3 linked regions of the Drosophila melanogaster genome follow. The protein of the gene in region 3 interacts with the protein of the main gene of each other region in a pairwise test. Each region holds a gene or a part of one and is shown on either strand. Other genes may lie near its edges.

Region 1 (3,688 bases), on a different chromosome or scaffold from region 3:
TGTGCTCGTGTGAGGGTCATATGCCTGGATATAGTGGCTGCGGTCATGGACATGCTGGACATCCAGGGAGACGTCATTGGTCCTGCTGTGGAAATGTCCTTGAGAACTCGGAATGCAATGTGGCCAACAAACTGCTTAATTCTTAAGTAATTGATTAGGATGCAGGGCTATAAAACGAATAAATTAACATATAGCCAGGTTTCGCCATTTTGTTTGTTCATCTTGTGAAATTTCAAAGATCTTGTAGTTTATACGCACGCGCAGATAGACAACAAGGATACTTCAAAATAAACGTTTTTCTACCTGCAAAATACATGCATTCCAACAGACCCGACAGTCCATTTACAATGTGCACACAATAATCTCAGATTGCTAAGGCTACAAAATCCCTTTCGACCTCTGGAATTACCAATTGAATTCTCCTTATTACCATATGGTCAGCATATGCGCGTCATATCCTGACCGTTGAGCAACAAGTCGCAAATAAAAGTTACTTATATAGGCTCCAGCAGAATAAAGGTTTTTTTTATTTATTGAAAATGGTTATCATAAATACAGACACTGACTCTGGACATTTATGGAAAAAAGTCCGATGCCTTAAGAGTTGGTTGGGTGGTTTTGAAAGCGCCTGCAAGGAGCTATAATTCTAAGTGGGTAATTTTTCGTTAAATGTATAATCGTTCTTTTTCGCTTTCGATGATCCAACTGTTTAATCTTCATTATCAGAGTACCAGGATAGGCGCTCTTCGTAGAAGTGGATTACCATTCGTGGGATTTTTTCATTGGCCACTGAGGAGGGCACCATTTCTGCTTGGTCCACGCCTTTGAACTGAATGAGGAATGTCAGGCGGCCATTATTGTCGGAGGCACCCAAGATCTTTTCGGCCTCCAGGCCGCGATCGAATCCGGTAGATCCTGAAACGGGAATGGTGTCCTGCTCCGCATCTGTGGTACGTTTTGATTTATTGCCAGAGGGCGCTAAATAAATAAAATAAAAACAAGTAATTAATACAGTGCAATTTTTTAATAGATGCATTTTTTTATTGCAAAGACCATCTTTTTCTTGCGCATGCCATTCTTGCGAAGGACAAAATTTGAGATACATATGTGAATACAGTTTTGACGAAAAGGGCAAATAAATGCCAGTGGATATTGTAGGTGATGACTATTGTTATACCAATTTGTGTACAGAAAATATTTGTAGGTACACTCAATTCCATAGCTTACCTGTTGGTTCTTCGGACTTTCGCTTGCTTGCTGTGGACGTCGAACTGCTGGCGCGTCCTTGAGTTTCCTTGGCCTTGGCGCTGCTGCTGGGTCGATCCTTCTTGGAGGCGGCTGACTTCTCCTACGGACCGAAACGAGATGTAAAGGAAATCCTAGCAAGCACAACTGTACTTGGCATCGCATTGTACTTCACTTACCTCATCCTTGCGGCTCGCCTCGTACTGCTGGATAAGATCCTGGCAGTCGAGATTGTTCTCCGGCTCCCACGTGTTCTCAGTTTCGGGATAGCCCTTCCATTTCAGATAGTACTCCACCTGCAGGTGGAAAATGGCGTTTTAGGACCAAATATAATGGGACGTCTGGTTCGGAAAACTCACCTTTCCCTTGCGCACCCGCCTGTCGATGATCTTTTCCACGGCGTACTCCTCCTCCTCCTCTTCGGCATCGGAAACCTTTGCCGAGCTCTCAGGGTTGTCGATTTTCTTGCCCATTTTGTTTTTATTAAAATACTTCACACGACAAAAAATAAGGAAAGAATTAGCACAACCGCACACAACCGCACACACACGCAAAGTACGAAAGGAAAGTACGATTTTTAGTCGACTCTCTTTGCTTTCATGGCTCACCTAGATTAAATAAGATCTACACTTTATGCACGCAGCTAAATTGGTTTTTATAAGCCTGTGTGTTGGCGCTAGAAGACTTTCCACAAAATGAAAAATCTGCAAAAAAATGCGCGTTCTAAAATGACGCCGGCCGAACAGTGTGCGAAAGTACGCGTGGACTGCTAAGACTACGCTTATCTATTTTCCGATAGATTTGCACATCGTATTAATTTCATTTTAAGTCTAGAAAAATGTTAACACTAAGAACTATCTAAATTTTACAACATAACTATAATAATAACGTAACTAACTGATCGCCAATATCTGTTTTTAAAAATTTTGTAATAAATCGATGAATCGATTAAGGAATCCGTTGTACCACAACTATTATCGACGCGTTTCACAGCACTGAATAAGTTGCGCGAATATTCACGAATTTTTTGACAATTTGCGTTTTGTTTCTTCTGTTTTACGGAAATTCTATAAAAATGCCCAAAACAAAGAAGAAGGATTCGTCCTCAGATAGCGATAGCGGTCCAGATGATGTAAGTTAACTAGAAATACACCAAAACTAGGTATAACAAGTTAAAACCTCTTTCAGCGTATCAAGCCGGCAAGCAAGAAGGCGAAGGAATCTGATGCTCCAAATTCAGATCCAAAAGATTCGGGCGAAAATGGTGCTACATCTTGGACCCTGGAAGGACTTCGCCAGGTGCGAATCAACGAGTTCCGCGGTCGCAAATCGGTGGACATTCGAGAGTTCTACGATAAGGGCGGCCAAATTCTTCCCGGCAAGAAGGGCATCTCCCTATCTTTAATTCAATGGAAGAAACTCCTTGAAGTGGCCGAAGAAGTCACCCGCGCGATCGAGAATTAATTGAAGTTCATCCACATGCCAAACTAAGTCGTAGCCATATGTACTAACTATAGACATATCCACTGAATAAACGTTATCTTAAACACTAGTAATTGAAAATCTGTATTTTCACAGTTGCTGAAGCATTAATGAATGACCAACTTAATTGCCTGATAGGTATTTTCCTTATCTGCTTTGTGGTGGGACTACAAAAAGCACACATATACATAAATGAATGAATCCTTTATTGGACGTCATATGTACATAGATTTGTACATTGATAGCATTTGATATAGATATGAATATTAAAAATAGATGCCCAGAATGGTGAAGATGGACAGGAGAATGGCAAACGGCAGCCAGGTCTTAATAAAACCCCCTATTCCGACGTAGCGGCCGCAGACAAAGAGCCACATGCTGAGGATAATCATGTTCCATGCGGTGCTGTCGTAGTAGCGCATGTAGATGAGTGCCGTTGCCACATGCGAGTGGCAGTTGTCACAGAAGATATTGTGGATGCGGGTGCCGTAGAGCACAGATGCTTTGGAGACCGCCTCGTCCCAGGCGTAACTGCCGCCCACCATGTGCTTGGGGTGCAACCTTATGTACCGGGTGGGTCTTCCAAAGGCCATGTTGTCCTCTGATACGAAGTAGGGGCCGGCGAAGTCACGAATCACACCGGACGAAGTGCAAATGCCCATATGTCCGATCATGGGCATCAGCCAGGTGAGAACCGGAATGGGAGTCCAAACGATGCAGTAGGGGAAGCGTTGGTCCTTTACGTTGATCGGAGGCAGTCTATCCGGAACGCCATTGCCGGCTCCTCCTCCGGAACTGGCCATCGAGATCTGAACGTCCTCGGACTGTTGCCGCTGCGGACTTGGGTTTGTCGACATTATTACACTGTATTAGGTTGATATTTGTGCGGGGAAGCCACAAGAACAGTCACTCACGGTCTTCCCGGCCGTAATGCCCATGAAACGAGTCGCTAACAATTCCA
Region 2 (3,169 bases), on a different chromosome or scaffold from region 3:
TCGCAAATCGACTGGTGGAAAGGCGCCACGCAAACAACTGGCTACTAAGGCCGCTCGCAAGAGTGCTCCAGCCACCGGAGGTGTGAAGAAGCCCCACCGCTATCGCCCTGGAACCGTGGCCTTGCGTGAAATTCGTCGCTACCAAAAGAGCACCGAGCTTCTAATCCGCAAGCTGCCTTTCCAGCGTCTGGTGCGTGAAATCGCTCAGGACTTTAAGACGGACTTGCGATTCCAGAGCTCGGCGGTTATGGCTCTGCAGGAAGCTAGCGAAGCCTACCTGGTTGGTCTCTTCGAAGATACCAACTTGTGTGCCATTCATGCCAAGCGTGTCACCATAATGCCCAAAGACATCCAGTTAGCGCGACGCATTCGCGGCGAGCGTGCTTAAGCTGACACGGCATTAACTTGCAGATAAAGCGCTAGCGTACTCTATAATCGGTCCTTTTCAGGACCACAAACCAGATTCAATGAGATAAAATTTTCTGTTGCCGACTATTTATAACTTTAAAAAAAAAATAAGAACAAAATTCATATTCTATTATTTATGGCGCAAACGGTACTGGGTCTTAAATCATATGTAAAAATACTAATTCTGCCAGAGAAGGAATAAAAATAATCTTATTTTAATTGTAAGCTCGACATTTATTAAATTAAAGAAGAGGTTAATAAATATAAAATATATATAAAAATATATATTTTTATTTGTTCTTTGTGCGAACATCCTTTAAAGCAGTGAAAGTGTCGTGCGGGGAAAGGGACTCTGAACCTTAAACATCTAAAAAAAAATCTGAATTCTGTGTAAGACAGTTTGAAATTAATGAAATTACATTGATGACGGCAATATTTATAAAATAACAGAAAATAATAAAATAAAACTAGCTATTTTATATTTTTTCCATGTGTTAACTGAAGAATGTGTTATTATTGAAGAGGTCGTACGGGACAATTGACACTGTCCCTTCAAACGTCTGTAAAAAATAAAACCTATGTAAAATTCAGCACGGAAATTGGCTAATTTTGTTGCGGAATGTAATATATATTACATAATAAAGGATAATACAAAAATTGTTTCTTTTTATTTTTTATTTGATTTATTTATTTGACTACATAGACGGTAATGCATATGTGGCGAGGAAATCGATTGATTTCAGAACAAATTATTTTAAAATATGCATGAAAACACATTAATAACAAGCAAACACATTAATAATTTAAGAAAATATTATTTATTATATTAATATTATGTTATTTAAGAAAGTATCTGTATTTTTAACGATCGAAAATTATTTCTGAATGCTGCTTTAAAGCAAATTTTTCTGTAGTTCAATGTGAACTTAAATCAAGTAATAAAGTATCTTAATTAATAATAGACGCTTCTTTCAGAAGCCCTTCTAGGGGATGAACGTTTCAATTTTAATAAACATTACGAATTAGTGAAATATTTGCAATGATTCTTATTTTATTAGATGTTTTTTTATAAATTGGTCCAGTTAAAAATTTGAATATAAAAATTCAATCAACATTTGAAAGTCTCAAAACCCATATTACATCCTTTTAAAAATGGAAAGTGACGAAAAAATTATTTAAAAGTGTAGAACTATTAAAACCTTATTTTTATTAATGATTTAAAATACTAAAAAATTAAAAAAAGTTTACACTTCAAGCAAACTTCGACATAGTAAATGACTGATGTCAGTAGCATTGTTAAAGTGCTCTCCTCCTCGATTCTCATCAGAGCAAAGGAGGTTGGTAGGCAGCGCGCGAGCCATTTTTAACAGAAAAAAAGTGTTCTCAGTGAAAAAAAGATGTCTGATTCTGCAGTTGCAACGTCCGCTTCCCCAGTGGCTGCCCCACCAGCGACAGTTGAGAAGAAAGTGGTCCAAAAAAAGGCATCTGGATCTGCTGGCACAAAGGCAAAGAAAGCCTCTGCGACGCCGTCACATCCGCCAACTCAGCAAATGGTGGACGCTTCCATTAAAAATTTAAAGGAACGTGGCGGTTCATCACTTCTGGCAATCAAAAAATATATCACTGCCACTTATAAATGCGACGCCCAAAAGTTAGCGCCATTCATCAAGAAGTACTTAAAATCGGCCGTGGTCAATGGAAAGCTTATCCAAACTAAGGGAAAGGGTGCATCTGGATCTTTCAAACTGTCGGCCTCTGCCAAGAAGGAAAAGGATCCGAAGGCAAAGTCGAAGGTTTTGTCTGCTGAGAAAAAAGTTCAAAGCAAGAAGGTAGCCTCTAAGAAGATTGGTGTCTCCTCTAAAAAAACTGCCGTTGGGGCTGCTGACAAAAAGCCCAAAGCTAAGAAGGCTGTGGCTACCAAAAAGACTGCCGAAAATAAGAAAACTGAGAAGGCAAAAGCCAAGGATGCCAAGAAAACTGGAATCATAAAGTCGAAGCCCGCCGCAACAAAGGCGAAAGTGACTGCAGCGAAGCCAAAGGCTGTAGTAGCGAAAGCGTCAAAGGCAAAGCCAGCGGTGTCTGCAAAACCCAAAAAGACGGTGAAGAAAGCATCGGTTTCTGCTACCGCCAAGAAGCCGAAAGCGAAGACTACGGCTGCCAAAAAGTAAATTGTGAAAAAGTGCAGTATTTGGTACATGTTCGCAATTAAAATTTTAGATTTATGATTTATAGATCTGAAATTTGTTTAAACAAGTCCTTTTCAGGGCTACAACGTTCCGTTGCAAGAGAAAAAAACTTTTATTTTCTTCCACTTATTTATTAGCTGACGTTCGCAGCAACAATAAAACGTTTCATGTCATGAATTACATTGCATGTTGGTCGCATTCAGTTTTCGTTCCCGATTTTTTTGTATTTATTTGAACATTACCCAATTACCCATATTGCGGGTAAATAAGTTTTATTTGTAAATTCATATTCGATGATTGGTAGTTGAAAAATGCATTTCTTTGGTATAACACATTGTGGCCTTGAAAAGGGCCGTTTTGGATTATTGTCCGCATTCGCAGGAGAAAATTATTTAGAGCTGGTGTACTTGGTGACAGCCTTGGTTCCCTCACTGACAGCATGCTTGGCCAACTCTCCAGGCAAAAGCAGGCGAACAGCCGTTTGGATCTCCCGACTGGTGATGGTCGAGCGCTTGTTGTAGTGAGCTAGACGAGACGCTTCGGCAGCAATTCGCTCGAAAATATCATTTACAAAG
Region 3 (9,607 bases):
TTCCCCAATTTCGGGGGCGTAATTTAGCAAACTGAAAATACAAGTATTACAGAAATTACTCAATAGTATTAACGAATGAAATCAAACGTTTTTCAATATATGTACTTATTAGTGAGAGTCATTTATCAAAATTTAGTTTCAACCGTAAAACCAAAACAAACAAATATGTACATCACGGCTAAGTACGAATTTTTATTCAATAAGCTATATTTACTAATAAACAAAGTCTCAAGAAACCAAATATTAAACTAAAAAGTACTTGGTAATAGTAGTTTAAAATTACAAAAGGATAAAAATACATTAAAATTAAATTAGTGTGCTATAGTTAAAACAAATTTACCAAATCGAAAAAGAAAACGTTTCAAAAATTATTCAACACAATCGATGTCGAAGTCGAATCGCTGCTGACGGACATTGTGTTTCAAAAACGATATTGAGATTTGTATGAATAATTGCTTAAACAACAGAATATTACGAGTATCAATGTGTTATTGAAAAAACATCGTATTGTAACTATTTAAATTTAATTGAACTAAAAGTGGAAAAATAAATTGGTCTATAATGAAAAATAAACAAGAAGTTGACTTTGCTTTTTTTCTCCATTTATTTAGCGTTTTATATAGCCTACTTATCTGCGTTCTTCCCAAAATTTGCAGAATTTATAAACGACTCCACTCCAAAAGTCCCAAAATAACAAGTCAGTTCTTGCGGTTTTAATTGTAAAAAATGCAATACAATTTGTTTTTTTTTTTCGTTTAGTTTTTGTTTTGTATTTAAATCATAAAAACAATTTTACGATGTATCAGATTTGCCTTTAGTTATTATAATATATAAAGGTATACCCTATTAGTTGCTTTTTTAATGCCTGATTCTGCTATAGATGCACAATACTCGCAAGCGAATCGTGTGTTTTCATATTATATACATACTCGACAACAAAATTCAATAAAATAAATTAAGTTAGGTATGTATTTCATGTTGGTACTAATTAGTTTCGGTTTGATCAACGGACACGGGAAGAATGGAGCTGTGGGACAAGAAGGAGCAGTGTGAAGAGGCCTAATAAAGATGATGCTGCCACTTTTGCCGCTGATGTTGTTCTTAAAAGTAGAACCATTCGGATCCTAACTAAATTCTACTTCTTTGCCACCTGGCTGTCCAGAACGGGTGTGATTGTCTTGCCTCCGAAGATCTGACCCCAGCCAATCAAACTGAGGAGAAAAAATACATCATTAAGTTGTGATTTCAAATACAATTTAAGGGGGGCTGTATACTCACCGCCAATGGTTCTCCACACGTCTGCTGAGTGCAATCTTCTCGCCCTTCTCCGTGCACACAGGCGTCGTAAGAACGATCTTGGCCAAATCACCTTTGGTGGCCGAGATGCGGCCACCAGTGCTGAGGGATCCGATATTAACCAACAGGATTTCGTTCTTCTGCAGCTTCTCAACGCGCGCTCCCTTCTTGTCACCATCGGTACGGACGCCGAGAAGGCGACGCAGCAGGTAATACGAGATTTCCAGCTCCTGGTAGATGTCCGGCAGCTGGCCAACGGCGCCTAGCACCTGACCGACCAAACGATCGGCACGGCACAGCGTAGGATCGATCTTGGTGCCCACACCAATCAGACCGCCGGGCACGGCGTACTGCAGCTCATTCTGTTCGGCGAAGAGCGAGACGATACGGGAGAAGATTGGACGGCAGGTGATGTTGCCATCGCTATCCTTGGTCACAACGCCCGGACGCACCTCGATCTCTTGGCCTACCTTCAGCACGCCGCTCAGAATGGAGCCACCGGCCACACCGCCCTTAAGGTCTGCCACCTCACAGCCTGGCTTGTTCACGTCGAAGGATCGGATGACGATCAGACGGGGCGGGGCATTGAAGTCACGCGGCGGCACTGGTATCTTGTTCACAATGTACTCGCAGAGCACATCGATGTTGTACTTAAGCTGGGCCGAGATCGGAATGATCGGAGCGCCCTCAGCTACGGTGCCCTGGACGAATTTGGTGATCTCCTCGTACTGCTCTTTCGCCTGGCTCTCCTTGATCAGATCGATCTTGTTTTGCAAGATCAGAATCTGTTTCAGCTTCATAATCTCAATGGCGGCCAAATGCTCAGAGGTTTGCGGTTGTGGACAGGATTCATTGCCTGCACATGGAATAGGTAGTAATTTGTATATCTTTTGTCGGTTCAGAGAGATCCAGGGTTACTCACCAGCAATGAGCAGCAGAGCAGCGTCCATCACAGCAGCACCGTTCAACATGGTAGCCATAAGAATGTCGTGACCGGGGCAATCCACGAAGCTCACATGTCGCACCAGTCTGAAGTTGCCGGAGCAGTTGAGCCGAGTGCAGGGCAAGCTGTCGTCCTTGCTGGATGCATCCGATACGAAGCTGGCCGGGCGCGGGCACTTGGGGTTGTCACACTTGTAGATTTTGGCGTTGGCATAACCTAAAAGCAATGCGATAATAATTATGAAGAATATTACAATACATTCTTCGAACTCCTGGCCTGGCAAACACGTAAAATAATCCTTCGTTCTTCACAAGGAATTAAGTGCTATTGCTAACTAAATTCATTTCTTTGATCCTTCCAGATCATTTATACAGCCACAAACAAACATCACTTAATAATCGTAAAATATTTATTGTAAAATAATAATTTGCACTTAATGCGGTAATAATTTCAGCACATTACAAGGTTGTTTGTCAAAACACTAAGTTATTACTAAATTAAAATTTAAGTTTATGAAATGTATACAAGTACAAACTATATAGAATTACTCGTTTTATCCTCTAGTAATATAGATCCTCAAACATAATATAGATCCAATATATCGATATTAGCATTTATTAACAAATAAATAATTAAAACGTCGGAATATAAAATCCAACTAGTAATATATATATATGTTAACAAAAAAAAAAAAGGTTCAATGCAATGATGTCTCAGGTGGGTAACGGCGTGCCATTTAAATATAGTACTTCAAGTCCATTCAAAAGAGGACCTTTCTGCAATTATCAGCTCCGCAGCGGCACTCGACACGCACAGCTGTCGAGAGGTTCTCGTAGGGCACATCTTCGTTGTCCGCGCGAATGTAGTCGAAGCTCAACTCCTCGCCCGCCTTGATTGGACGCAGTGTGAAGAACACGAGGTGCGGCAGCGCGACATTCAGGTGCTCGATCCAACAGGGGAACACGGCGAGATTAGGATCGCAAGAGTGATTGATAAAGTGCGAGATGTTGCCATAGTTAGCTGCATCGATAGTGTACTCGCTATCCTGAGCTGTGTTGTAATCCAAGTCGAACAGATATGTCCTCCCATTGTCGTCATACGCCTTGCCGCGCTCATTTGCCTCATCGCTGGTGATGATCTCTCCAATGTACTCGCACACAAATTCACCCTTACGCAAGGCAGTTGCGGCTCGCACCCCCCATCCGCTGCCGTTGGCGGTCTTAAACAGCACCAACGGTACCTGGCGTCCGTGCTGCACCAGACGGTTGGAGCAGCTTGAATCGCACGAGCAGCGGCTATTGCACTCATAGATGGCACTTCCGGGACGAAGGCGCAAGCGCCGTGTGCTTCGCTCGTAGGCGAACAGCTCGCCGGCGAAGCGGGCACAACACTTCGTAGAGGCAGTACACTCCTCTGTGTCTTCAGTGCACTTACAGCCCACAATCCCCGCTTCCGGCTTGGGCACATCCTTGCCGATTATGTTATCATGTATGTACATGAAATTGCTGTCTATGGTGTCCAGATCAATGTTGTTCTCAACACGTATTGGCGGTGACGGTTTCTCCACATGATTCATGCGCTTCTCGAACAATGCTAGATCAGCCAACTGCTTGCGTCGTACAAATTGGGCCCGCTTGATTTGCATGCTTTTCAGGGCTCGTTCTCCAATTTTCTGCGGTTCCCTTTGGCTTCGACTGCCAGCAGCGCGATATTGGGCGAGCAGTATAAGATCGATCTGCAGATTGAGTGGCTCATAGGCGTCTACTTCGGCCACCGTAATGTTCTCCATTAGTGGCAATGCCTCCAGCTGCTTCTCAAGCTCAGTGGTTATCTTGGCTATGTATATCTCGTAGAGCTGCTGATGCCGCTCCACAAACTTCTCCATTTCGGCGCAGTCGGCCACGTTGGCAAGACTTTCCCAGGTGTTCTCGCTATCATGGTATCCCAGCCATTTGACGAAGAAGACTGGCTGATATTGATCCATCTCGACGCATTCAATACGCTCCACAACGTACTCTCCTTTGGGCGGCCTTTTGGCAATTACTCCCATGTTATTTTTCGACCGCTTGGAGTTGGGAGTTGGGGCGCCCACACAACTGCTGCGTCGACGCTTCAGTTTGGCGAATCCGTTGAGACTGGGTATTTTGTCCACATCATGTTCCTCGCAGCCAAAAACGCTGCCATAGCCGCTACTATTGCTTGGACTCAGTGAGGTCTGACTGGTGCTTCGCCGGGTGGTGCGTCTATCTACACTGGAGGTGGATGCTGGCATGGAAGACGAAGCTGGCTTGGTGCAGAGGCGGCGGAATCGGCTATGTCGCCGCAATTCGGCCAGGTGGCGCAGCATTGAACGCTGTTTGATTTCATACTGCTGTCGCTGCTGCTTGGAGGTCAAAAGATTTTTGATTTTTTTTTCGCTCAAGCGTTCTGCAAATGACAAGTTTTGGACAATTGTGGATTGGATGATGGGTTTGGTGTGTTTTTTTTTTTATTTGGCGGACGCGTCGCAACCGAAAAAATCGTAAAAACAAGAGAAATAGGGAAAAAGAAGAAAAAGATTGGCAATTAATTAAATTGCTGGATCAGTCGTATCAATCAATGTAACAGATTCAAGACTAAGCTAACAGGAAGATATGCTTAATACCAATCTTTGGGAACGCTTTTTAATTCAGCTTTGTAAAGTACAACATTCTAAAGACAACTTCTTTTATCATTTTAGACTACTTAGGCGACGACACAAGGCAACGCGTGCTAATCCAGCAATTTAAGTTAACAAAATACACAAGAATTCGAATTACAAGAGACAATCATTCGCAGAACCCTTTTACAACATTATCTCGATGTAAAGCAGCGACAGAGTTGGCTACGCGGTGTGCCGTCGCGATACGGTGTTAAAAAGTGGTTCTTAAGATAATTATGGGTTATTTTCGGCCAGCCGAGAAGGTTTACAATCTTAGGGCACTACGGGGTTTACGGGCGAGCAGGAAGAATTAACATACGGCTAAATTATTATCAAGTAGAATAATACATCTTAAGATTATATGCTTAGGCTAGCTTACACGGATCCCTGACTCACCCAGCTTGATTGTGATGTTGCGCTCCAGTTCGTTCTTGAAGCGCACAGTCTGCACGCCGGATATGGCTTTGACCACCGTGGATTTGCCGTGAGCCACATGACCGATGGTGCCGATGTTGATGGTCGCCTGTCGGGAGATGACCTCCGGTGATAGAGGCGTTAGTTTAGAGACGTCCTGCAAGATTCCAAATGCAATACGATAAATAAAGGCGCTTTAATAGAGGAAAATCAGAGCACAAGTCTTGTTTACCGCCGCCACACCCCCTAACAAAACATCCCCTCTCAGATGCATGTGTGTATATAGGAAAGCCGTCAATTTTGAGGTTAGAATGTCGCTTGAATTGCATCAACTCAAAATTGATGACAACAGTCAGGTAGTCCTCGCGAAACTGATCTGCTTGCCAGAGCCCAAATACCGCCAGAGTCCGCATCATGCCCATATGCAGAGCCAAAGTTGCGGGATAAACCAAACAGACCCTAAATGTAGCGCCACGTGCTGCATTTTCACCGTGATCTCTCACCCACAACAAATCACTGCTGGCCCTGGCGAAACCCACTGGTATATCCCTCGAAATTGGTCCGCGAACCGTTCGAGACAATCTGGGCGCGTCCTTGCGACCCGCACCCCGCTGTTTTTCCGGGAAGCGGCTCCATAATGACGACGCGTATACTTTCACACACGGGCGGAAAAAAAGGGAAGGCGGCGTCTGGCGGTCGTCTTTGCTGGCTGCTTACCAAGTTGCTGAGGTCCTGCTTCTGCAAGTTCCTGTTCACACCGATCTGGGCTTCAGCCGTGGCCATGTTGCTGATGTTTTCAAAAACGATGCGTATGCAAAATGAAAATAATAATTTTCAGCTATTACAGCTCGGCATCAAATCTCGATATCGAAGAACGATTGGACCCGACAATGCCTATCGATAGTGCTCTAATCATGGTTGGCCAGTGTTGGACACGTCACACCGGTGCCCAACTGCGATGCGTATCGATAGAGTGCCGCCCTATCGATACACTTACAGTTCTTCAGCCGCAAACGAAAGGTTAAAAATCCGCTTCGCTTCTCTTCTGCTCAACTGTACCGCCGCTTTTTGTTCAAATATCTCGGGAATTACGAGCGTACACACAACGGAAGAGCGTGCAGAATGTCGAGCGTGCCAAAGCGAGCCAAGCTGGACGGCGCCCCCGCCGATGGCAACACATCCGCCGCCGCCGGTAACAACGAGGAGGAGTCGGAGGCGTTGGAGCAAATTGATGCCTGCCAGAACGAGATCGATGCGCTGAACGAGAAGGCCAGCGAGGAGATCCTCAAGGTGGAGCAGAAGTACAACAAGCTGCGGAAGCCCTGCTACGAGAAGCGCAGCGAGCTGGTCAAGCGCATCCCCAACTTTTGGGTGACCTCGGTGAGTACTTCGATCCGCGGCCATGTTTGTCCCCTCCGCGTGTTCGTCTGATGGGTTCTAGTGGAGCCGACTAGATCTTTCGAAGCCCTGAAGTGATGGTAATCGCTGCACACATGTACAAGAAATTTTCTCTATTCGAGGCATTTTTTCTTGTTCATCTTTGGGCTGCAATGCCGACACCACCGGCTCCCCGCGCATTTTCCCCCTCCCGGAAAAATCGTGCTATCGATATATCCGTCTGGCCGGGAAATACACAACATAGCACAGTTCAAAATGGCTTCAAATCAAAAACCACTGAAATATTTGCTGCCATAATTGAAAAGAAAAGTAGTGCCATAGGGGCCATAAACATGGCTTTCTGCTTGATAGCATGCATCCCCTAGCTAATCCCAACTGCCATATTTGCAGTTTATCAACCACCCGCAAGTATCCGGCATTCTGGACGAGGAGGAGGAGGAGTGCCTGCACGCGCTCAACAAACTTGAGGTTGAGGAGTTTGAGGACATCAAATCGGGTTACCGCATCAACTTCCATTTCGACGAGAATCCTTACTTCGAAAACAAGGTGCTCACCAAAGAGTTCCACCTGAATTCAGCGGGTAAGTTCTCCCAACGATTGATTCAAATCCGCTTAGCTAACCCATTACTATTTCAATTAAAGCTGCTTCCGAGAACGGAGACTGGCCCGCGTCTACCAGCACGCCCATCAAATGGAAGGAGGGAAAGAACCTGCTAAAACTTTTGCTGACAAAGCCGTACGGAAACAAGAAGAAGCGCAACTCCGAATACAAAACCTTCTTCGATTGGTTCTCGGATAACACCGATCCCGTCAACGACGAGATCGCAGAACTGATAAAAGACGACCTTTGGCCAAATCCACTGCAGTATTATCTGGTACCTGATATCGAGGTGGAGCCCGAGGACGAGGAGGACAACGAAGATAATGATGAGGAGGCATTTGACGACGAGGACGGTGAGGATGGAGAAGGCGAGGAAGAGGAAGAGGATGAGGGTAAGCTAATGGAGTGCCTTTTGAACAGAAGGAATTTACTAACCACCTAACCAACCATTTTAGATGACAAGTAAACTGATTAATGCAATTTCAAATCGCTCGCAACCGAAGGCCCACATTGTTTATAACCACTGGCAACTATAGTTTTCCCGATGGTTATGCAACATTTACATATTCGCAACGATTTAAGGACATATTTAGGTTTCGAAATAAGCAAAAGTCATACATCCATTAAAGAGCAGCAGAAAATGAGAATCACCATTAAATTAATTTAAAACAAATAAAAAGACGTAAATCGAATCTCAAGCCGTGTCTTTTTATGTAAGTAAAGAATTACCAAAGTATTCAATTCGATGTTTATAAAATAATTTATTACTTTATTAATTAATATTTATTAATTAATTAATTATTTAATAGCAAATTAGAGGTGTTACTATTAAGGTAGATTTTGGGTACCCAGAAATACCTATCTTTTAATATATCCTTTAAGAATTACTTTAAAGTCAGAATATCATTTTTAAAATGAAAATTCGCTTTTATTTAACTAGCTAGTATAAATCTTAAAATCTAGCTATTTTTTGTAATCGATAACTGTCCTGCAACCCTTACGCCATTCAAAACAACCCTGCCACACGTCGAGTAGCAAGTAACGTAGCCCTGGTCACAGCTGAGATTTTTAGCTGAAAAATTGTCGGGATAAAAACGATGGCCTCTATTAACAAATTGGCACTTTTGGTATGTTATAATGCGAATAAATAGAAAAAAGTGAACAAGCTCCGGTCAATGCCAAGCCATTTTAAGTGCATGTCAAATTTTTATTGCGTTTGCAACCCGCTGTCGCATATGTAGAATTATCTAACGCGCGTTTCTTGGTTATGTAATTTTTGCCCATCTTAACCCACGAACCGCGGGTAGTTTATGTTTAATAAGCCGAAAAACTTACCAAGTGCTCTTGTTTGCTTATCCCGCAGAGCCGCACCCTCAGCTCCGCTGCCGCCCAGGCGACGGTGAAGCCACCAGTGCAGGTGTTCGGTCTGGAGGGTCGCTATGCTACCGCCCTGTATTCGGCTGCCTCCAAGTTGAGCCAGTTGGATCAGGTGGAGAAGGATCTGACGGCCCTGCAGGCCACCATCCGTAGCGACAAGAAGCTGCGCGAGTACGTGACCAGCCCCATCATCAACAAGAAGGTCATGGCCACCGCTCTGAAGGAGGCATCCGAGAAGCTCCGCTTCGCCCCGGCCACCGTCAATCTGTTGGGTCTGCTGGCTGACAACGGACGTCTAAAGAAGCTGGACACCGTGATCAATGCCTACAAGACCATCATGGCCGCACATCGCGGTGAGGTCGTCTGCGAGGTGGTCACCGCCAAGCCCTTGGATGCGTCCCAGAGCAAGCAGCTGGAGGGTGCCCTTAAGGTAGCTACGCCTAGCTTCTGTCTTGTCTCACCCACTCAATTTATTGCTCATTTGCTTTGCAGTCTTTCCTGAAGGGCAACGAGTCTCTGAAGATCACTTCCCGCGTGGACCCCAGCATCATTGGTGGCCTGATCGTTTCCATTGGCGACAAGTACGTCGACATGAGCATTGCCACTAAGGTCAAGCTCTACACCGATGTCATCCAGACCGCTGCCTAGACTCTTAAGGATTTGCTCTTGATTTAGATGGTCAAACTGAAAGTTTGGTATTGGAATTCAAGCGGTAATAGCGAATAAAACACTCTTCACCCTTTGAAAACCAACAAAATTTATTCAGAGATATGCGCACTAGATTTGGTTTATGATTTAGATATATTTTTAGGATCCGGTATATCTGTGCACTGCAGCTCCGCAACCTTGTGCTGGATTGTCTGCTGCAGAAGGCTGTGCTGCTCCAGCAGATTCTCCA

Evidence for each region.
Region 1: the proteins of Su(var)3-9 (region 3) and Su(var)205 interact in binary tests that used the Drosophila melanogaster proteins (3 or more experiments, as listed by UniProt).
Region 2: the proteins of Su(var)3-9 (region 3) and His1:CG31617 interact in binary tests that used the Drosophila melanogaster proteins (3 or more experiments, as listed by UniProt).

Annotation. Positions count from the first base shown.
Region 1 is NT_033779.5:8,209,126-8,212,813, forward strand, and holds Su(var)205 (suppressor of variegation 205), read right to left. Parts: upstream 1,998-3,688; 5' UTR 1,719-1,997; coding exon 1,605-1,718; intron 1,542-1,604; coding exon 1,425-1,541; intron 1,349-1,424; coding exon 1,228-1,348; intron 979-1,227; coding exon 710-978; 3' UTR 501-709; downstream 1-500. Other genes in the region: CG8419 (uncharacterized protein), read left to right, coding at 1-146; Ssb-c31a (single stranded-binding protein c31A), read left to right, coding at 2,321-2,377, 2,434-2,709; CG8372 (uncharacterized protein), read right to left, coding at 2,994-3,584. UniProt on the Drosophila melanogaster protein: Structural component of heterochromatin, involved in gene repression and the modification of position-effect-variegation. Recognizes and binds histone H3 tails methylated at 'Lys-9', leading to epigenetic repression.
Region 2 is NT_033779.5:21,420,209-21,423,377, forward strand, and holds His1:CG31617 (histone H1), read left to right. Parts: upstream 1-1,646; 5' UTR 1,647-1,805; coding exon 1,806-2,576; 3' UTR 2,577-2,669; downstream 2,670-3,169. Other genes in the region: His3:CG33803 (histone H3), read left to right, coding at 1-388; His2B:CG17949 (histone H2B), read right to left, coding at 2,983-3,169. UniProt on the Drosophila melanogaster protein: Histones H1 are necessary for the condensation of nucleosome chains into higher-order structures.
Region 3 is NT_033777.3:15,257,232-15,266,838, forward strand, and holds Su(var)3-9 (suppressor of variegation 3-9), read right to left. Parts: upstream 6,228-9,607; 5' UTR 6,117-6,227; coding exon 6,051-6,116; intron 5,707-6,050; exon of another isoform or gene 5,608-5,706; coding exon of another isoform or gene 5,566-5,607; intron 5,491-5,565; coding exon 5,316-5,490; intron 4,667-5,315; coding exon 3,000-4,666; 3' UTR 2,633-2,999; downstream 1-2,632. Other genes in the region: eIF2gamma (eukaryotic translation initiation factor 2 subunit gamma), read right to left, coding at 1,136-1,211, 1,279-2,152, 2,219-2,455, 5,316-5,490, 6,051-6,116; Set, read left to right, coding at 6,456-6,713, 7,122-7,311, 7,374-7,724, 7,788-7,798; ATPsynO (ATP synthase, oligomycin sensitivity conferring protein), read left to right, coding at 8,430-8,459, 8,696-9,139, 9,202-9,357; CG14864 (uncharacterized protein), read right to left, coding at 9,498-9,607. UniProt on the Drosophila melanogaster protein: Histone methyltransferase that specifically trimethylates 'Lys-9' of histone H3 using monomethylated H3 'Lys-9' as substrate.